Linked DNA regions of Arabidopsis thaliana. The protein of the gene in region 1 interacts with the protein of each later gene in a pairwise test. Each region holds a gene or a part of one and is shown on either strand. Other genes may lie near its edges. The genes, in order: NAC071, GATA17, NAC088 and HB27.

Region 1 (6,018 bases):
TGTGAGTGATATAAGAAACTATTACACTGGTTGAGATGCGGATAAATAAGAGTCTTACCATTCCTTTTCACTTTTGTTTTTCACTTTCTTTAGAAGATATAGCTGGCACAAAGTAGTACATTAACTTTGAATAGAATTTTCCGATTGTAAAGTAACTATAAAACCTATGTGTAACTGTATTATAATGAAGAATTATATTCTAGCTCCCTCTTTCACACCAAAAGAAAATGAAGATTTATATTGTCTTTCTATTGATACGGTTAACTAAGTTGATGACAATCTACAAAACCATTCAATATGTATATATATTGTCTATCGATAAGTTTAGCAATATTTACTTTTTGTCGGAATCGCGGACTAGGAAAAATCACATGTCGGCAAAAACGAGAACACGATGACCAGTGTGGTGGGTTGGTAATTTGGTATATTTGGTTGGTCCATGATATCGGTTGAATCTATTTAGAATTTGCAAAAATAGTTCCGATATGACTACTGATATGAATTTACCCCCGGACATTAATTAGTAACGACATAATATTCAAACGTATATGGTACTTTTTGATATATAAAATTAGGGCTCAGTATAGTCAACATAGAAGATCCGTTATTCGTATTTCATAGGCTAACTTCTTCTTTTCCTACCATATGACGTAGTTATTCACGCTTTAGGCCTTTTTCTTCATTTTTGTTCTTTTGTCTCTCTTTAATCAGTGTTAGGGGTCATGGTGACCGTTCCTAAAGTATCGTATAATTATAAGGTGCACTTTTTGGTATATAGAACTTATTAACCTTATACATTTCCATCTCGTGAAGTCATTCGTTTTCCCAATATTTTTTTATTTTCTTTTCCTCTTGAATATTTCAGCTATCGGGTCTTACACAAATGGGAACTAAACTTTAAACTACAACTTTACATCTTAAACAATAACATATTTCCGGTAAAAAGAAGACAATAAACAAAATTTTCTTCAAAGTTTTGTTATCTCTTCTAATGTCTTAAAAGTTGAAAGTGGTTACTCTAATAAAAAGCAGTTTTGTCTTACTCATACTGACGTGGAGGAACATTGTTACACCCCCTTCAAAATAGTCAAGAAAAAGTTTAGAATATTGAACGAAAGGAAAAATAAAAGAATTAGCTAGGACCGAGTTTCTATGACCTAGAACTAAAACTCCCGTTACATACTTATATCAAAGAAACGAGCTAGAAAAAACATTAGAGAAATGTAAAATATATCTCTCTCTTTTTGGTTAACCAAGGTTTACTAATCCGATATACAAGAATGACATGCAAATAAACATAGGGTTAAGTTGTAAAGTAGTCAGATATTTAAACTTAATTATGGAATTGGGCAAATTACTATTTATAATTGGATTTTTAGTCACTAACCTTTGACCCTATTACAGACAAAATCAAATATACCCCATACCAACTCTATTATTTACAAATATGCCACTAATCTTCTTCTTCTCCAATGTCGTTGAAAGCAATTGGGATTTGTGCTTTTAGATTCAACATTTCTCTCTCCTCATACTCACATTCTTTGTATTTCTTTATATATATATATATATATATATATATATATATATATATATATATATATATTTATTTATTTTTTAATAACCTCTTCAATCTAATAATTGAAATGCTTATCAATGTAAATTTATTTTCTAAATTAATTCAGATACATAAAAATCTATATTTTTTCTCTATAATTTGATATGCATTTTGTTAATAATTTTAAATATATTATATAAACATTTTTATTAGTAGTCAGTACAGTTAATTATGTGTACAGATTTTTATTTATACAACTTATTTAATAAGTACAAATTGAAATCGTCCAGCCATAATTGGAAAAATAGTCATTTTACTATTCACAATTTGCAAAGTAGTCACTTTTAACTGTTTGATTCGTACACTTAGATCTGTACAACATTTTTTAGTGTACAGATGTAAGTGTACGTTGTGTATATTTATATATATATATATACACTAAAAATATTGTACAGGTCTAAGTGTACGAATCAACAGTGAAAAGTGACTACTGATAATTGTATACTCCATACAATTATATACTCTGTACAGCTAATGCAACGTACAAAATAAAGTCTGTACACATAATTAAGTGTACCGACTACTGATAAAATGTCTGTAATATATTAAAAATATTAACAAAATGCATATCAAATTATAAAGAAAAATACATAGATTTTTATGTATATGAATTAGTTTAGAAAATAAATTTATATTGATAAGTATTTCAATTATTAAATTGGAGGGGTTATTAAAAAGAAATAAAAAAAAAAAGAATATTTCACTTTTATCTTTCTTCTCTGTCAAAAGGATAGTTCGGTAATTTCAAAACACATCACTTACCCCACCCCAAACTTCTATTTCACGCTCGTCTATTACACGCCCAAAGTGAGTTACATGTTTTGTCAAGTGTAAATAGTAACTTGCCCAACTCCATAATTATGTTTTCAAAAGTGACTAATTTGCCAACACACCTATAAACATATCGTTTTACAAAACGAAACGACGTCTTATGAAATTAAAAAATAGAAAAATAAGTTTTGATTAATTATAGGTGATAGTATTATTGAATCATTGATGTGTGAAGTGTGAACAAGTCTAACTTTAGAGACCAGGTAGGTCCACTTTCTTTTTGAATTTTGGGAACTCTTAAGACAAGCAATGTCTTTATCCGCTTTCGGTGTGTCGAGTTATTTTTTCTTCTGAATATTAACGGCACTGACTATTATAATACTGTTTGTTTATTCTACAGAAAAATTCATCAACATATTTTAAGCTATGATTAAATTTGCCTCACAAAGTTTCGCAACCTTTGTGCTATAAATATCATTCACCCCACAACCATTCAACACTCTACCAACCTTCTCTTCTTCTCTCCGATCTTAATCACTCTCCTAATCAATACTCACTAATAACTTTTTTTTTTTTTTGGTCTTGTATAGCTAATAAGTCAGAGAACCCTTTTCCTCAGTCAGACTCTTTGACCCGCAGCAATTAGCTCTTCCACCAACTGCTCTTCGTTATTTCTGAATTGTACCTTAAGTTTGTTTCTATTTTTTTTCTTAGGTGTTAGATATATTTTTAAAAAGAGAATTTTGGATAATTCGTTTTTTTTTTTGTAAACATACAATCTCTTTCAGACAATGATATTGTCACAAAAAGGATGCAATCAAAGTGAGTTGCAACTTATTTTCAAAAACAAATTGAATGTCGAAAAAAGTTTATATTTTTAGATTTTCCAAATAGTCAATAGATATTTAGTTAAATATTAGCTTTCGACAACTCTCTTGTGTCGCAAGCTACAAGTGTGAATTTTGCAAATGGGGAGTTCATGTTTGCCTCCAGGATTTAGATTTCATCCAACTGATGAAGAGCTCATAGGCTACTACTTGAGTAGAAAAATAGAAGGTCTCGAGATTGAGCTTGAAGTCATTCCTGTTATCGACTTATACAAATTTGATCCTTGGGAGTTGCCAGGTAATTTGAAAAGGAAAACAATTAGATTTTTATCCATAAATTTATATTTAAATAAAACTAAATTTGTTTGATTTTATCTTTGAATTTTAGGTAAATCTTTCCTTCCAAATAGAGATTTGGAATGGTTCTTTTTCTGTCCAAGAGACAAAAAATATGCAAACGGTTCTCGAACCAATAGGGCTACAAAAGCGGGTTATTGGAAAGCAACTGGTAAAGACCGGAAAATCACTTGTAAATCATCGCATGTTATAGCTGGATACCGAAAAACCTTAGTTTTCTATGAAGGTCGTGCCCCATTAGGCGACAGAACTAATTGGTTTATGCATGAATATCGTCTATGCGATATTGATGATCATTCACAAAAATCACCAAATTTCAAGGTAAGAAAATTAGAGTTCGTTTCATTTGATCCAACTTCATAATATTCATTTTTATGAACTAATGGAACGAAGCCTAAAAACCATATATATGTTTGAATTTTAGGGAGCTTTTGCGTTATGTCGCGTAGTTAAGAAGAATGAACTGAAGAAAAATTCGAAAAGTTTGAAAAATAAAAACGAACAAGACATTGGTTCTTGTTACTCTAGCCTCGCGACCTCTCCTTGTCGCGATGAAGCGTCGCAGATTCAATCGTTCAAGCCTTCTTCTACTACAAACGACTCTTCAAGCATTTGGATTTCTCCTGATTTCATCCTTGATTCGTCAAAGGTACCTACATCTATTATCTAAACCAAAATAGTTTTTGTATAGACAGTAGTGGTCTGATATGTGTTTTTGGTTTTGTGATTTTAAATATAGGATTATCCTCAGATTAAGGAGGTTGCTTCTGAGTGCTTTCCCAACTACCATTTTCCGGTCACCACGGCAAACCACCACGTGGAATTTCCGGTGAGCTCTTGTTATTTCAATGTGGACCAGGACATTGATCAGTCGATGCAAACCGGTTATTGGACAAATTATGAAAATGACCAAACCGGTTCATTTGACTACTCAAACCTTTTTTAGCTACAAGAAATGTTGGTTCGTTCTTAGGACAAAAACGCCTTTTAACGTTGGTGTCTTGGAACTTGGAAGAAGAAGAAGAACTAGTTGTGAACGTCTATCATTTTCTTTTGAGAATTTAATTATCTTACTCTTGGTTTTTATTTTAGTTTTATATATATTGTTTGCTAATATAAGGAATGAGTATAATAAATTCCTTATTTAAAGTTTTTTCGTATGAAGATTTACGTTATTATAGAGTCTTATTTTAATGTTCCGATACCTTTGATATGATATATGCAAAGAGAATCAATCATGTTCTTCTCAATCATTAATTGGACCAAACTTATATTATATAAAGCAACTTATGTAGAAGTCATAACAATCATTTGCATTAAAAATCCAATATTTTGTCTATAAAAGCAATAGTTTCGGGACCATTTTGACATTTCAAAAGTTTATGTAAACAAAATTCCATAAATATGCAGAGATTAAAATCAAAAACTATGTGACGCAGCAATTTGTTTACAGATGTATGAAAATCCCAAAAGCTTGCATTTCTCAATTGTTAGAGACCTTTCAAACAAAATTCTTTTTTCCATGAGCTTTCTACATTTCATTCTTTTAAAATTTATAAGAATATTTCTTCCTCTTGAAAATGATCTACGAAATACTTTTGATATATAGTCTATATGATTTACAAAATGTGAACAATATCAAATTGGGTCCATAGCTCAGTGATAGAGCAATTGACTGCAGATCAATAGGTCACCGGTTCGAACCCGGTTGGGCCCTTCCTTTTTTTGTTTTTTCTTTTTTTTCTGTTTTTCACTTTACAATTAAATTCCGGAAATTCAAATTGCCGGACCAGAAATAACCGGCCTTAAACATTACGACTGTATCTTTCTCCTTGTATTGTTTGTCTTAACCAGACATCTCAATTCATTACACAACGAAACACATAATAGTTTTTTCTATTCAAGAAACGATAATTTTCTTATTAGTAAATTCTGAAAACGAAGACACGAAAAGGAAAAAGCATCCGATTCCTAATTCCCATCATCGTAAAAAGGACAAACCGAATCATACCAAACCGAATCGAATCGCATCATCGACCCCTTATACCGATCGGTTTAGTCTAATCTAAAAAACTCAATTTATCGTCGTCGTTCGTTGCTTCATTCCGCGGCACCGACACTGATCGTAACATTCGCCGGGTTTTCGCATCGGACATCGTCAGCCGTCTGATCTCGCTTGTTATCATACTCCTTAAAACTTGCGATCCTTCCCAATTCCTCAACTTCTTCGATTACATTATCGAGCCTCGCCACCATTTCCACTAGCAACGACGCAAACGCCGCGAACGGTAATGCCTCCGAGAATTCGAGACTCGTCATCACCGCGATTTTGCTCAGCTGTGGCCGTAACATCCTCCTCTCTCCCGCCGCCGACATCTCTGAGTTACTGTTCTTGAACGATCTCCGGTACTCCATTAAAGCTGACGTGTCAGTCCTAAAGCTTGAAAG
Region 2 (5,631 bases), on another chromosome or scaffold:
CACAACGAGAGTGGAACGGCAGAGGCAGAGTCGGTCCAAATCTCTCTGTTGTAAAATCAAAAGAAATCAAGAAGTCACCCCTATAATCAGTATACGTATAAGAATTTCCTTTCACAGAGACATCCATTTTATAAAAGGCTGTCGCCCAATTGGAATTGACATCAAGAGCCCTCCATGAATTAGAGTCTAACTCATAGATTTCGTAGTCAACACGTTCATCATCAATATTTATATAATTGTGTTCAGAACTCAAAATTTTGTAGCTGCGGCACGATTTTTTCGTCTCGTATCCAATAGCATATATATATGCGTGATGGCTTCTAGGTTTGATCCACCGAGTTTGCCCCAAATACGGATTCCAAACCACATCTCTAGTGTTACTGAAGCTTTTTGTGATGCATACCAAACCACCGCAATGATAGACTCGACACATACCGATTGGGTTAATAATTTTACCATTACACTTTATAGATGGTTCAACGTCTTCTTCCTTGTTGAGATTGATGTTCATTAAACAAAACTTAGAATCCATCATCATGATCACCATAAATTCCTTGGCAGCTTTTGTTTGAACGAGTTGCTTCTTTGTAAAGCTTTCTTCTTTGGCTAAAGTGTTCCACTTTTTGCAAGTCAATCGTATTGCTCTCATAGAATACAGTGGACTTCTAGAGAGTATCTCCTCCAACAAATCATTCGGAAGTTTGGACATCTTTGTCATTGTTTCAGCACTCAAGGATGATCAATGTAATAGAAATTTAGGGTTTTACTCTCACGCTTTCCTAATCTTTTTAATCGACAAGAAATAAGTTAGGTAACAACTTTATATGCCAACTTTCAAAAGTTATTTCCGTGAAAAAAGAAAAGGAAACAATAATTCTTTTTACTCCCTAATGGGCTAATTAGTATAATTAAACCACTATAGTGTAAAAATTAAGGAAACAATAATTCTTTGGCCAGATTCTATTTTACATGAGCATTGAAGGACTTTAGTCTTGTTTACCTCGAACACTAAATAACAAAGGTTATATTTTATAGAACCCAAAAAACAAGTCTTTATTAGGTCTTTACGTCTTTATCTCCTCCAACAAATCCATTGGAATATTGGATATCTTCGTCATTGTCTCAGCAAGGTTTCGATGATGTAGAAAATAGGTTTTTTTTTTTTGACTTCATAGAAAATAGGGTTTTTTAATTTAGAGTTATATAGTCAAATAAGTTACGTTACTTTTTTATGCGGCGACCTTCAAAAGCTCTTTCCAGTTCCAATTTTCCAATTTTGTTGTATTTTGTACTAATTTCCTATATTATGGTAAAGGGCTTGTCTATGGAATTAAGCCCAATCTTTTAACTTTATAATCGGTCTTGTTTTTTGCTGATGGTTTCTGCAATGTGGTTGTTTGAGGAGCTTTGTGGTCCTAACTTGGCATCCAAGGAAGAAAACCTTGTCTTTGTAGAACTTTGAGGTTAATTTAGTCCTACAACTGCGAGGTTAATTTCTTTCTTCCTTAATAATCTGCTTGGCAAAGGGTCATATCAATGCTCAAGTACGAGTTACATTGATACACAAAGAATTTCAAATATTGAAATTATCTCATCTTATTGGTGAAGTCTTACATATGTTGCAGAGTGAAGCTCCAGAACTCACCCAAAAAAATGCTCTGATGCATACGAAGGAAACTCATAATCTCACTCTTTGTCTTGATGATAAATATGTTTGGTCATTGGTGGTCAGGTCTCAAATCATCTTTCTGTTGTGATATGATGAATTACTGCATGAATATGTCAAAGAGAAACTATCTTCTTTTTCATGTTAAAAGAACACACTGATTAACAATTCCTCTAGTTCCTCTATTACTAACAGAAATGATCATTGAAAAATTAAACGGAGGCTGATCACTTTTCAATTCCATCATATATAAACTGTTTGGAATAAAATCAAATATGCCTTAGTTAATAATTCATACAAGACATGAGAATACAAACTAATTTTGGATTTGCACTAAACTTGAAACATAAGTGGGGAAGAAGTTATGTTTGAAGATTCTTTGAAATTCACTTTTTTGAAAATATCCATCCTCACTCCAATGTTTAGAGTTCACACCGAACATCTTCGTAAGACCAAGATTGAACAAACCTCAAAACTTTGTGGTTGAGGCCGCATGATTTGTCATCCACGTATCCTATGCCATACTTAATCCTACGGTGACAACTTAACGGTTCGAACCACCGGGTTTTCTTTGTGGGTAGGTGCATCTGTACTGTAATTTCTTCTTCTGTAGCTCAACTAAAAAACTGTACTGCGTTATCATGCTCATGGGCCTGGACTATCAAATTGAGCCCAATGGATATTTATCTTACAGAATTTTGCCATTATTTTTTTGTTTTTTTATTAATAATCCAGTCATCATTCATAAGTTTTTAAAAAATTCATTTGTTGCATTGATTGTAAATAAAACCGACGTAAAACTTTATTAGTTTATTATAAATTTTGACATTAGAAATAAAATAAAACCAAAAACTGAAAAAAAAAAAAACGTGAAAACAGATTATTGTCAGGACAGCGACCAATAACAAACCCTAGCCGCAAAATTTGAAAGCGGCTAGTTTTAAAAAACAAAAAATCAAAACATTGTTTCAGATTTTAGTTATAAGTTTTTGGGCGGGTGGCACAAAATTAATAAAAGCTCCCGCTCGAGGGTATTTTAGTCAATTCAAATAACCCGAAATACTAGGGTTTCCGCCCCCGCCTTCCTCCTCAATTATAAAATTCCTCTCCGTTTGTTTAATTCTGTTGCTACTAACCGCCGTCTCTCTCTCTCTCCCTCTTCCTTATCATCAAAACTTGCTCTGCTCCGATCTCTTAAAAAAAAAAAGATGTCTGAGGGATCAGAAGATACGAAAACAAAACTCGACTCTGCCGGAGAGTTATCAGATGTTGATAACGAGAACTGCAGTAGCAGCGGAAGTGGCGGTGGTAGTAGTTCTGGTGATACCAAAAGGACTTGCGTTGATTGCGGAACTATCCGAACTCCTCTTTGGCGTGGTGGTCCTGCCGGACCAAAGGTGAGATTTTTAACTAACCCTTTCATTTCAATCTTCTTATAGTCTATTGGGTTGTTGTTAGATTCCGATCTAGTAGATCTAATCAATGGATCGCGAAATAGCATCTATATTATGCATGATCCTATTTTAGGTTTTATCGTTTTTCAAATTTATTTAGGTGATGAATCAATTTAGTGACCGGAAAGATCTGATCTCATATTGCTCTGAAGTTCAAATTTTTCTTATTTCTTTGGTTTGTCTTTTGCTATGTAGTCATTGTGCAATGCTTGTGGGATCAAGAGTAGGAAGAAGAGACAAGCAGCACTTGGTATGAGATCAGAGGAGAAGAAGAAGAACAGAAAAAGCAATTGCAATAATGATCTAAACCTCGACCATCGAAACGCCAAGAAATACAAAATCAACATAGTTGATGATGGCAAGATCGACATCGATGATGATCCGAAAATTTGCAATAACAAGCGTAGTAGTAGTAGTAGCAGTAACAAAGGAGTGAGTAAGTTTTTGGATTTAGGGTTTAAAGTACCGGTGATGAAGAGATCAGCGGTTGAGAAGAAGAGGTTATGGAGAAAACTCGGTGAGGAAGAAAGAGCTGCTGTGCTTCTCATGGCTCTCTCTTGTAGCTCTGTTTACGCCTAAGTGTTTCTCTGTATTAGGTCATAATCAAGTGAGAGCGATTTTGATTAACTTAATTAGATAGAGATAATATGTAATGAATGTGTAAGTTCCTAGTTTTTTGGTTCCACTAATGTTTTGTGTTCATTTTCTTGATGAATTCAAATATCAACACTTTTTTTTGGTTCTTAGTCATTCAATGCCATAATAATGAGAATTGGTCTTAATTTTTAGTGCCTCAAATGTCATTCTCTGTGTATGGGCCCATATGGCCCAAGATATTGGGCTTTATCGGGGGAATCGTGAGGCGCGTGATTCTAGTTGTCTTGTCTCCGTCAACTCCACCATTTTTTTGTTTTTTGGTCCATTGATGTCGTTTTTCATTTGATTTGAATTTTTATATGCTTTTGAATTCACAACTGGTTTCAAATTCAGATTTTGTATGGTTTAGAGTTTTTTTTATATATATATCATGCTGAGGTTGTATACTTCGATTTGTTTTTTCATTTTATTGAAGGATGGCAATTTTTCGATTTGCACTTGGCAGAGTATCTGTTTGTGTGATTAAAAGTTGTTATGGTAACTTTGTAACAGGGACAGTGTAAATTTTCGATTTGCAATTGGTTTTGTTTTTCATGTAAGCGTATGATTCAACCTTAATAAGCCATCATTAATAATTAATAATGGTGGACCAACAAAATTTTAAGTAATGTTAAATATGGCAAAGTCATGAATCATACTTATAATTTTTTTTTAAAAATCTAAAGTGGTGACGAAAATATAATTCATTTAAATGGATCACTGGTGGACGAATGGTGTGAGTGTGACATGGCTAGGTAGAGCCGTGAACCTCGAGAATGATTCAAATTAACGGGGCAACTTCGTTCAACGGGGGACTTTCTTTTGACCAAAGCTTCTATTTATGTGTTTCACCCTTATATTATGCAGTTTCTTCGATTTAGGACCATTACTTCCATTGATTCCTTTATTTTCCTAAGCAAAGAGTACAATTTAGGAATAACTTGTCGATATTTTCCATAAACACCATTTCTTAATTTTGGAGATACGTTTTCCTTATTATTTTTCACAAATTCAAACAAAATCTTCATAATATATTTTAGCTATCAAATCACACTCTCAATACATTCAAAACTTCCATAAACACTCTTAGAAATCACTAAAATTTAGTAGACAGAAATATCAGTAAATATTTGAATATAAGTCATTTAAGCGAACATTCTATAAACTGTGTTTGGTATCAATGTTTTATAGCTAACGATTAGGTGTAAATTACACATTCACATAATTACTAAGATATAGGTTGGGGTTGCATTTTTTTATTAACAGAAATATATGGTTCATCTTGTAATTTGAAAACTTAAACCCACTATTTTATAATTTTGTCAGAAGAACAAAACCTTGTCTTTGGCTTTTGTTCGTAACCTTTGTTTACTTGATCAAGAAAAAACATTAAAATCCGACCAAACAAGGAAATATACACATTTTCAACGCGGACATAAATTTTCATTACAGCGTCTTACTAAGCTGTTCTGTTCTTTAACGCGGTCTCTTCCTCTCTTCAAAATTAAACTTCCGATTTTTCACCTTTTCATTTCCAGAATTTGTTTTTTAAAAAAGAGATTTTTGTGAGTGAAGAGATTTAGAGTAATCATGGGTTTAACTCGAAATTTCATTTTATGGATTCTTTTGTCATCTCTCTTCACGGCGATTCAACTAACGTCGTCTCAACGCAACACTCCACCACCACGCTCTAAAGACGCCGATCTCTGCAACGGCGTGTTCGTTTCCTACACTTACTTAACCGGTACCAAGATTAAACCAAACGACACGAAGAACCAGCCGTACCGGTTCGAATCAGAGATCACGGTCCTAAACAACGGCCGCGACGAGCTTAAATCGTGGCAAGTCTTTGTTAAATTCGCCCACCGCGAGATT
Region 3 (4,780 bases), on another chromosome or scaffold:
AAAACTACAACTAAAAACAACAAAACAACAAAACATACCACAAGAAAAACATAATCAATGTTAAGTTATATTATATATGGTTCAACTTTTCTTTCTCAATCTTGACAAAATTGACCATACGTATTTTCCCTTAGAGCATCTACAACAATGGGATCCATATTTTACAATAAAAAATTTACAAATAGACATTTGAACTAGATTTATATTTGACATTGTCCAATGATGGGATCCAAATATAGAGGATCTAAAATTTTAAATGTTTGAAAAATGTGTCTAAGGTATGTGTGTTTGTGTGTCCAAAGAAGCGTCCAAAAGAGTGACTAAATGTCCAAAAATAGATCTGTATCTAAGGTTTTTTCTTCAATTTTGATTTAATTTTTAGATCTTTGATGTTTAGGACATCCTATTCCAACAAAATCTGAAGACCGACGCTAAAAACCCTAAACAGACTTATATTTCATATGTGTAGGTGACAGTGACAGACCGTATTCCTCAAAACGTGGAAAGATTCTTCCGTTTGTGAGATTCGATCTAATATTTCTTTAAAAATATATATATTACTACAATATGTTCAGAAGAAGAAGAATCCTCTACAATCAATTCATACAAAAATATAGGAAATCAAATAGCAATATCGTTTTTTTTTTTTCATCTTTTATAGATTGACTAAATAGAGCAAGAAAACTAGCAAACTTCCTTTTTTGTTGATATATACTACGTACAAAAGATAAGTTCTTATCATAAAAGTTTGTTGAAACATGTTTACCTCTTCTACTCTAGGGTTTGGATTTAGAGTTTAGATACAAGCTTTATTTCATATATTTCTCAAGAAAATATTAATATCTCATTATATTTTCATACATTATATGAATAATACGTACTGTCTTCCTCGGAAAAAAAAGGAAACCATTATTGTTATCTATGAAAAAAGTAACATGCGAAGAGCTGCAAAGCTCCTCATAAAAAACTTGAATAATCTTTAATTAAATAAACAAGAAAACATTGAGACTCTCAGATCCTTGACTTATAATGTGTATACTAATAAAGATATAAGAATACGGGAGAATCTTCAAACGAAACACAACGAAATAAAATGATGATGAGTAACGTAACTACCTTTAGAAAAAAAAAAAAAAAAAAGAAGTCATCGTTTTCCATAATCATCATATTTTTGAGGGATATTCACCAAACAGAATCATGGTCCTTTAAGGTGGCAGAGACGTTGGTTTTGATTGCCAATGGAAGAATACTCCCTCATGGTCCAACCACTCGTTTTGCTCTCATCACCTTCAACGTAGAACCTGAGATTCCTCTTCTTCCCGATCACTTCACCGGTTTTCTTCGACACGACATCTTTTAACTCTCCAGTGGCTTTCCAACCTTTAACTTTGCGATTTGTCCTTTTCACGAAATAAAACCACTCGTTAGGTTCAAAGATATCATTCTCTGTGTGATTAAGCCGCCACGGCTCTTTGGCGTAGATGTTGTCCCTGTCTTCTAACAAATATATCGTGTTTGGTTGGTGGAAGCCAAGCTTTGGTAGAAGATAATCGAGTATGAGTTCTTCTTCTGAAGGATTAAATCTAAAGCAACCAAGCTCTTCCTCTTCATCGTAAAATTCTTCAGTCATCGGCATCATCTTCTTCTTCTGAAATTTCCTCGAGTCAAATGAGAGAGAATTAATTATGAACCTCCTCTAATGAGGTTTATATAAAGTGGAGTATGATTGAGAACCGACTATTGAATATTATCTAATTTGGATTAGTTTTGGATATATATAAATATACAAAAAGGAAAGTTTACAAGTTTTTCATGTTATTTTTATAAAAATAAATCCAATAGGCACAGGGCTATACCAAACGAATAATAATGATGTCAAAAAAATAAACGAATAATAGTTAATAATTTTTCAAAAAACTAAAGACATTTATTTTGTGGCCCAATAATTCCAAACACATCAATTTGAAAAAAAAAATTATGTAGAGGAGATACAAAAGGAAAACAAAAAAATTTGTATGGTTTCGCACTGGGCTGGGCCTATCTAGAGTCCAATAGTCAGCAATGGTTTGGTTAACCTTTCTTTCTTAACCTTGGCTAAACAGACCACAAGTTTGGGTTCTAAGGTTAGATAACAATAAAATCTCAGGGCCGACCCCTGATACTTATGCTCATAAGCATATCCTAATTCTTTTAGCTAATATCGTTTAACGAATTTATGCTAATAATAACATGCGATCTCATTACTTGAATATCAAGAAATGCAACAAACTCTCTCTTTTTCGTCCCAAGAGGGGGTCTTGGCCTCTTGGGTATACTTTCTGCAGAACCATAAATTATGTTTCTCGTTTAGGTTCTGTCCTTTTTTTTTCTTTTTTTATAATATCTTGACTATATACCAGCCTATGTATATCATTTTTTTTTACTCTAATATATACTGGAAAAAGGAAAGAAAAAAGGTTTTTGTTTGTGCTCAATTCCTATAAGTTAATTTTTACATGTATCTGTTCTCAATAGTGTCTACATTCATTTGATCATTATAATTTGTACACTAGTACACTAAAAAGGAAAAAGAAAAAAAGCAGTATAGACTTTCCATAGTCAGAGCTCACCAAAAAGGAACCATGGTCATTTGAGGTGGCAGAGAATATGGAAATGAACTCATTACATATTTTGTACAACAAACCCATTTTGGAATTAAACAGGCCCTCTATGTTAATCAGAGCATAAGGATTTCATCTTTTTCTCTACAAACTTTTCAATTATCTTTTTCTAAGAGTTACAAAAGTATATTTGTTTTCTATATAAATTTGGGATAGTCTATCTACATTTCTACAAAATTCAGCTAACCGTTAGGTGAGTCACTCATAGTCATACATATCTTCCTTCTATATAAAAAAAGAATATTAGTTTTGAGTGGACTGATAAATATATTCTTTTCAACAAGAAGAAAACAATCTTCTTAAACCCAAACGTTCAAGAAAAAGAAAAAAAAACGATACTTACGATGAGTGCGGTAAAATCGGCGTTAGGTGATATGGTGATAACCTTTTTGTGGGTTATTCTCTCGGCGACGTTTGGGATACAGACGGCGGCGATTGTTTCCGCCGTAGGGTTTCATGGTATCACTTGGGCTCCTCTTGTGATCTCAACGTTGGTTGTTTTTGTCTCCATCTCGATTTTTACGGTTATTGGAAACGTTCTTGGTGGTGCTAGCTTCAATCCTTGTGGAAACGCAGCGTTTTATACCGCCGGTGTTTCCAGTGATTCTCTCTTCTCCTTGGCCATTAGATCTCCTGCTCAGGTGTGTGTTTATGATCTAAGCTAGCTTTTGAAACCAAACCAACTTCTTCTTCTTGTTCTTTATTTTGTTCTGAACAGAAAGATTTTTGTTCATATACTTGTGACATCTTTTCATATGAGTATTTGCTTTTGTGTCTTGTCTCTTCGAATAAGAATCTATTAAAGTTTTATCCTTACACATTGTTTATGAATTTCTTTACATTTATTTTGTTGTTAGAGCAATGTATTTTCTTTGTTTGTTGGATCTATGTGAAGTTTATTGTGTGTGGTCCATGTGTGTTTTTGAATAACGTACAAACTTTTTTAATTGGAGATTTTGGCCCAAGTACCCACTGGCATATTTGTTTCCATATGTAATGTAACCTTTTATATATCTTAGGCAATTGGTGCGGCAGGCGGTGCGATAACGATCATGGAGATGATACCGGAAAAGTATAAGACTAGGATTGGAGGAAAGCCTTCATTGCAATTTGGTGCACACAATGGAGCTATTTCTGAAGTGGTCCTAAGTTTTAGTGTTACATTTTTGGTTTTACTAATTATCCTAAGAGGTCCTCGAAAACTGCTCGCGAAAACGTTCTTGCTCGCACTCGCTACCGTATCGGTGTTTGTCGTAGGTTCTAAATTCACTAGACCATTCATGAATCCTGCCATTGTAAGTTCATACTCGTCCTACTCAAGAATTGTTAATTCATTTTTATTACATTTTGAAATGAATCTTGATATATAGTCTTGTGGTATATATTGTGATGCAGGCGTTTGGGTGGGCATATATCTACAAGTCTCACAACACATGGGACCATTTTTATGTGTATTGGATCAGCTCCTACACCGGAGCTATTTTATCTGCGATGCTCTTTAGAATTATATTTCCGGCTCCACCTCTGGTTCAGAAAAAACAGAAGAAAGCTTGAGAAAAAAATGGAAAAATCTAAGTAAAAATTTCATGAATCATAATCCCATTTGTTGTATGTTTTATGCTGTTGTCGTATTTGTACTTAATTTATAGTTTATAGCCCAAAAAAAAAATTCGTTTCTTTTTAAAATTTATGGATTCACATTTTCTCGGTTAGTGCGTAATCTACAAATTCACTCTCGTCCGGTTGAGTAGTATTGGTTAAGTTCGGTACGTGAAGGAGAGTCAGGGTGGGTTAATCCGGTTAAGGTTCATGTTTTCGATTTACAACTTCTATTAACCAGAGTACTCAAACCGAATTTCATACAGCTCAGGTTTATATGGTTTTGATATCCACTTAGCTTTGATTTTTATCAAATTATACCAAGTTCGATTCAACCAAGTTTCACTATCACAAAATTGCAAAAAAAATAAATATAAAAAGTAAACAGTCAAATTAAAAATCTCATGAAAAATTAGGAGTTGTTAGTGAAAATATTAGTGATAATCCCTTCGTTTCAATTTATTTATAATTTAAGAATTTTGCATACACATAAAAAGTTAAGACACTACATAAATTATGTA
Region 4 (5,539 bases), on another chromosome or scaffold:
CGAGCCATGGCTTAACATTAACGAGCTAAGTTATGTGTACCCGCTCATGTGGTATTTACCAATGGTTTCCTTTTTGAACAGATTTTTGTCTTGTTTTTAAACACAAAACGACGTCGGTTTGTGAACATAATAAAAATGTAAATGTTGACTTATCTTTGCTAAATTGGTCCGTCAGCTAAGGATGTACCTTATTTAGCAAAATTAACGAAAATTAACGATTTAATTGAAAATCAACTAAAGTTTAAAATTAAAGTCATCCTACTCAAAATTGGTGCTTTGTTTCACCACTTTTGATAAACTGGTGATGGTTTTTATGACATTTTTTCCAGTAATAAAAGGGGTAGTTATGCAATTTAGTAGAAGTTAAAGGGTTTCTAAACAAACTTAAAAACCAAATTTTTCTTTATTGCTTTGCTCGAGAGTGCCTGCAACTGCAACAGTTGAGATTTTGAGCGTGTCAAGGATTCTGATTGATAACGATATTCAAGTTCAGCAATCTCATTGCAGTAGAAAATGGAATCGAATCATCCTCACTTCAAGGTCCGCTTCTTTTCAATAGGTTTCTAGTTCGATTCATGAACTGTTTCTGCAGTCAATTTCGAACTTGTGAAATCTCCATAACTTGTGCTTTGAATGTATTTGCTAAAGCTATAATCTTGTTGCGTTTCAAAAACCATCCTTTGGAAAAATTGGAGTCTTTTGGTTGCTTATTGAAATTTGTTTGCAGCTAATTTTGGGATCTTCTTCGATTGCTCGACGTAAGATACTAACAGATATGGGATACCAATTCACTCTCATGGTAATTTCTTGTTCCTTTGAAATTATTATTCAAAGACTGCATTTTTGTATTTGGGCTTCTAGTTCAAGTAGAAGTTTACTGGTAATTGTTAATGTAGAGTGCTGATATTGATGAGAAAAGCATCCGCAAGGAGAAACCTGAAGAGTTGGTTTTGGCTTTAGCTGAGGCAAAGGTAACTTCATTAGTCATCTGCAATAAAATGGTTGCTTTTATGGTTCATGTTTCTTTTTGTTAATCTTGTCATCACAGGCTGATGCTATTGTGTCAAAACTACAAATTAGTGAATGTGAAGATGAGGAACAACCGAGAGTCTTGATTGCATCGGATACAGTATGTAGTTTTTGGTTTAGCTAATTACTAGTAAAGTCTCCATCTACTATCACCAAGTTCCATTTTATGTTCTTGGGAATGCATCATCATCTTCTTTGGAAATATACACTCTTACGTCGTAATAGCTCTGATTTGTCCTGCACCAGAAGTTGCTTTATGGGTTTTATCTCTTTAGGGTCCTCTATATCTTACTCTGAAGCTAGTATTTGTCATTCTTTAGGTCTTGATCTACTCTTGTTTATTCTGTGAAATTTAAGTCTTTATGCTCTGCCTACATGATTTGATATCGCATGTTTTGTAGCTCCGCCTACAATTATCATTTCTGCTTCCACCAGTGTTTTTATTAACTGGAGGGACCTGTTTCATGCATATATCTTTTATTAAGCCAAAGGTGTTTTATATAGCATTTGCTCTTCATCAGTCTCATTGATAAACCGGCATAATTTTTTCCCAGGCTGAAGCAATCATGCAGCGGATCCCTGATGGTGAAAACATAGAGGAGGATAAGTCGACCTTACTTATTACTTGTGACCAAGTACTGAGCTATATTTAAACTTTCTGTGTTTGCTCAAAGCTTTACTATGATATTATCAACTAGCTAGCTGTAATGGACACCCATGTTAGGTTAGGTTAGTGATTAAATGGAGTCTAAAGAGCTAAGATTGTTTAAACATTCAGGTTGTTTGTAATTTATAGGAGTTGACTAATGAAAGATGGGGCATTCTAAGGACAGAAATGGAATTTGGTGATAATAGATAGTCTATGAGAGACTTGGGTTTAATGTTTTGAATTGTATGAAGGTGGTTGTCTATGAAGATGCTGTTAGAGAGAAACCCTCGAGTGTCGAAGAAGCAAGGGAGTACATAAGAGGTAAGCTCACATGATTTGTTTTGCTTACTATAACTCAAGGCTTAAGGTTAAAGAACTAAATTCAAAACACAGGCTATTCCAAGGGGCATACAGCAACAGTGAGTTCTGTGGCTGTGACAAATCTCAAAACAGGAGTCAGAAAAGGAGGCGTCGATAGAGTGGAGGTAACACTATAATCTTGCGTTTCATTAAAGTTAGGATTGTTACAATTTGGGAAATATATAGCATCAGCTGATGATGTAAATTCCTAACAGATCTATTTCAATGAAATACCGGAAGAGACTATCGAGAAACTGGTGAGTGGTGTTTTGTACAAGTTTAAGACATATATTTCACCATATCAATATTGAAGTTAAGGCTGTGTTGATGAGCAGATTGAGGAAGGCATGGTGCTTAAGGTGGCTGGTGCACTCCTAATCGAGCATCCGCTAATCTTGCCATGCGTTAAGGAAGTGGTTGGATTCCTTACCTTGTCCATTTTAAAATATGAACCATTATATGAATTTACAAGGATTTAAGTCTATATAGTCTATCCCTTCTTCTTCATAGATACACATGTTGATCATACGGTTTCGTTCCTCTTGTTCTTTTAATACCGTTTTGGAGCATGGGATGTTAAACTAGGTTGTATTGTTGTATCAGGTTGGGACAACAGATAGTGTGATGGGTCTGCCCAAAGAATTGACTGAGAAACTGATAAAGGAAGTATTGGCAAGCACATAGGTACATTCGTCGCCTCTGAATGTTGGTGTATTCATGTTGTGAGGATTATAGATAAGTTTCGGAGTTTAATTTGGGAAATGAGCTTAATGTTACAGTCAAACTAGTTTATTCAGTTGTTTTACTACCTCTTGTTTCTGACTTAACCTTTAGACTGGAATTGGTAATTGATAGCGTGATATTAGAGAGGCTTACCATCAAAACCACCCAAACCGAAGTAAACCAAACCGGCTGAACCTAAGTTTAAGTAAATAAGGTTTGTGTTGGACTTACGGTCTCTTGGTTTGGTTTGGTAGCCCCTAACCAATTGGTTACGTAATTTATTTCCGGTTAAACACAAGTTTTGTTGGAAAACGGAAACTGTGACTGGTCACTAGTCACTATCAAGCAGCCTAAAAAGTATCGACTCTTCTTTATCAAAAAAGTTTACACAAACACTTTCTCTCCACTGAACTCATTTTCTCTCTTCTTCTTCATCATCATCATCAATGGATGAGATAAAACCAAAGAAAGAAGAGAATTCCAAACGACGTCGTAACGTCAAACCCATTTGCCGTGAAACTGGAGACCACGTCCATTATCTTCCAACATGCAAAACCAAGCCCAAACCCACGCGTACTCATCACGCGCCACCACCGATCCTCGACTCAATCTTCAAAGTCACTCACAAGCCACACTACTACGAATGCAGGAAGAATCACGCCGCTGATATCGGAACCACCGCTTACGACGGCTGCGGCGAGTTTGTTAGCTCCACCGGTGAAGAAGATTCTTTAAACTGCGCCGCATGTGGCTGTCACCGTAACTTCCACCGTGAAGAGTTAATCCCGGAGAACGGCGGCGTTACTGAGACGGTTCTTGAAGTTCTCAAGATTTCATCGTGTCAGTTTCGTCGGATCTTTTGCTCACCTTACGGCGGTGGAAAAAGCGAAGGAAAGAAGAAGAAGAAGGAGAAGGAGAGTTATGGAGGGGATCCGATAATTAAAGATCGATTCGGCGGTGCGGAGGAGGAGGAGGGGATAGTGAAGAGGTTGAAAACGAAGTTCACGGCGGAGCAAACGGAGAAAATGAGGGATTATGCGGAGAAGCTTCGGTGGAAGGTGAGACCTGAGAGGCAGGAGGAGGTTGAAGAGTTTTGTGTAGAGATTGGAGTGAATCGGAAGAATTTTAGGATTTGGATGAATAATCACAAGGATAAAATTATAATTGATGAATGATTATTTACCAAACTTAATTGTGTTACTTTTCTTTTCATTCTACTTTGTTTTAATTTGTGTTTGATTTAGTGTAATGTATAAATAACAAGCTCATTATTGGCTAAAACCAATTGTGGAGAAGGATTTGCCACAACCTTCGTAATCAATAGTTTTAATGCAAGAAGTAAGTAATATTTCGTTTGGATTTCTGATCTGCTGTGCTCATTACTTGTAAGTTGGCCCAACCCAAAATGTGAATGGTCAAGAACATGAACATGACAAGGTTCTTAAAACACAATATTACAAGAAAGAACACCAACTATGAAAGCAGACCCCAACTACACGTTTCTTATACCAAAAAACTGACTTGGCCTTCATTTCCTACATAAATCTTACTTGTTCTTTAAGTCCTGCACTGAGTGATAGAGCCTTGAGAGGGTTTACCTAGAGAAGCCTACAATATGGAATTTGGACTCCAAGCTTGTGCAAATTTGAACGCTTGCTTTAAACATAAATATGTTTTGTCTAAATGATTTATCTCGATTTTTTGCACTATTATGCGAAAAAGACCGTTAGTTGCGTTCCTTTTTTTTTTTTTTTCTAGATTTAGGTTTATAATAGTAGATTGTTTAATTTCTTAACTCACTTACTATTTTAACTTGCATGTGTTTATTCAACCATCTTGTTTTTGTTCGCAACACGTAGTTTAGTTTCAGTTATCTTAAGTACTGTCATTCATATTTAGTCTTGAGAATATCAACAAAAACTAAACGATTCTTAGCTTAGTTCATATCTCATATCTTTGGTGTGTGACATTCTTAATATTTAATCATCGACCTTGTTATTACGACCACCTTCCTTCACTTTACTCTTTCGATTAAGTAATAAAAATTCGGACACAACATCTATAGTGGACTTCATCCAGATTAGTCTTGAAGATTTACACGGCCGCACTAGTACCAGAGCAAAATTGATGAACATATCGCTACAACCGGAATAGTAGGCAACCCTTTTAAGCTTTACCGCTTCATCTAATCATCTTCCACCTATGTAGATGTCCTCACATTGAGATGACAAAGTTGTATGGAGATATATACTCTTATACGAGGACATCCTCTACAAAGTTGTATGAAGAATACACCAAACAATCGAAAGTTTGTTAAGAGTTTATCTACCGATTCTGTCTTTTTCTTTCTTCACCAACTCTTGATTGTATGTGAATGTTAAATGAATTATAGACTAATTATTTTTTATTCTATTTTTCTAACTACAAAAATAGAAATCATAACGCAAAAAGAAAAAGTTTCTTACCATTGGCCTTTGCCAAAAGGATGCGAATTTTACATATGTACAAGAAGTCATCAAGAACTGCTATTCCATAATTATGATTAATTAGGTTTCATAGAATAAGTAAAAAATATATATCTGAGTCATTATGAACACTTACTTGATCAAAGAGGACAATTTAGATAATCGCCGAAATAAAAAAAGAAAGAAAGAAAGAAATAATTCCTTTAAGATCATCGCAATCTCATGGGATGTGCCCGTTTAGCGACTAATCCTTCTTGTTGTTTTATCCGCAAGGAAGATAGTGAAGGCATAACATGGTTATCTTCAGGCGTTG

Evidence for each region.
Region 2: the proteins of NAC071 (region 1) and GATA17 interact in a two-hybrid assay, tested with the Arabidopsis thaliana proteins (one large-scale study listed by BioGRID).
Region 3: the proteins of NAC071 (region 1) and NAC088 interact in a two-hybrid assay, tested with the Arabidopsis thaliana proteins (one large-scale study listed by BioGRID).
Region 4: the proteins of NAC071 (region 1) and HB27 interact in a two-hybrid assay, tested with the Arabidopsis thaliana proteins (one large-scale study listed by BioGRID).

The regions. Positions count from the first base shown.
Region 1 is NC_003075.7:9,977,375-9,983,392, reverse strand, and holds NAC071 (NAC domain containing protein 71), read left to right. Parts: upstream 1-2,837; 5' UTR 2,838-3,354; coding exon 3,355-3,511; intron 3,512-3,601; coding exon 3,602-3,891; intron 3,892-3,994; coding exon 3,995-4,219; intron 4,220-4,309; coding exon 4,310-4,516; coding exon of another isoform or gene 4,517-4,543; 3' UTR 4,544-4,690; downstream 4,691-6,018. Other genes in the region: ALMT12 (aluminum-activated, malate transporter 12), read right to left, coding at 5,671-6,018. UniProt on the Arabidopsis thaliana protein: Transcription factor involved in tissue reunion of wounded inflorescence stems. Required for the division of pith cells in the reunion process, which is dependent on polar-transported auxin and the wound-inducible hormones ethylene and jasmonate.
Region 2 is NC_003074.8:5,761,820-5,767,450, reverse strand, and holds GATA17 (GATA transcription factor 17), read left to right. Parts: upstream 1-2,690; 5' UTR 2,691-2,874; coding exon 2,875-3,063; intron 3,064-3,315; coding exon 3,316-3,699; 3' UTR 3,700-3,954; downstream 3,955-5,631. Other genes in the region: AT3G16880 (F-box and associated interaction domains-containing protein), read right to left, coding at 1-718; COBL8 (COBRA-like protein 8 precursor), read left to right, coding at 5,347-5,631. UniProt on the Arabidopsis thaliana protein: Transcriptional regulator that specifically binds 5'-GATA-3' or 5'-GAT-3' motifs within gene promoters.
Region 3 is NC_003076.8:6,054,632-6,059,411, reverse strand, and holds NAC088 (NAC domain containing protein 88), read right to left. Parts: upstream 1,640-4,780; coding exon 1,196-1,639; downstream 1-1,195. Other genes in the region: SIP1;2 (Aquaporin-like superfamily protein), read left to right, coding at 3,005-3,301, 3,680-3,955, 4,056-4,214.
Region 4 is NC_003076.8:17,151,634-17,157,172, forward strand, and holds HB27 (homeobox protein 27), read left to right. Parts: upstream 1-3,084; 5' UTR 3,085-3,207; coding exon 3,208-3,936; 3' UTR 3,937-4,124; downstream 4,125-5,539. Other genes in the region: AT5G42765 (plasma membrane fusion protein), read right to left, coding at 1-8; AT5G42770 (Maf-like protein), read left to right, coding at 514-540, 728-799, 897-971, 1,049-1,129, 1,584-1,664, 1,930-1,999, 2,072-2,163, 2,254-2,295 and 2 more; AT5G42785 (uncharacterized protein), read right to left, coding at 5,436-5,539. UniProt on the Arabidopsis thaliana protein: Putative transcription factor.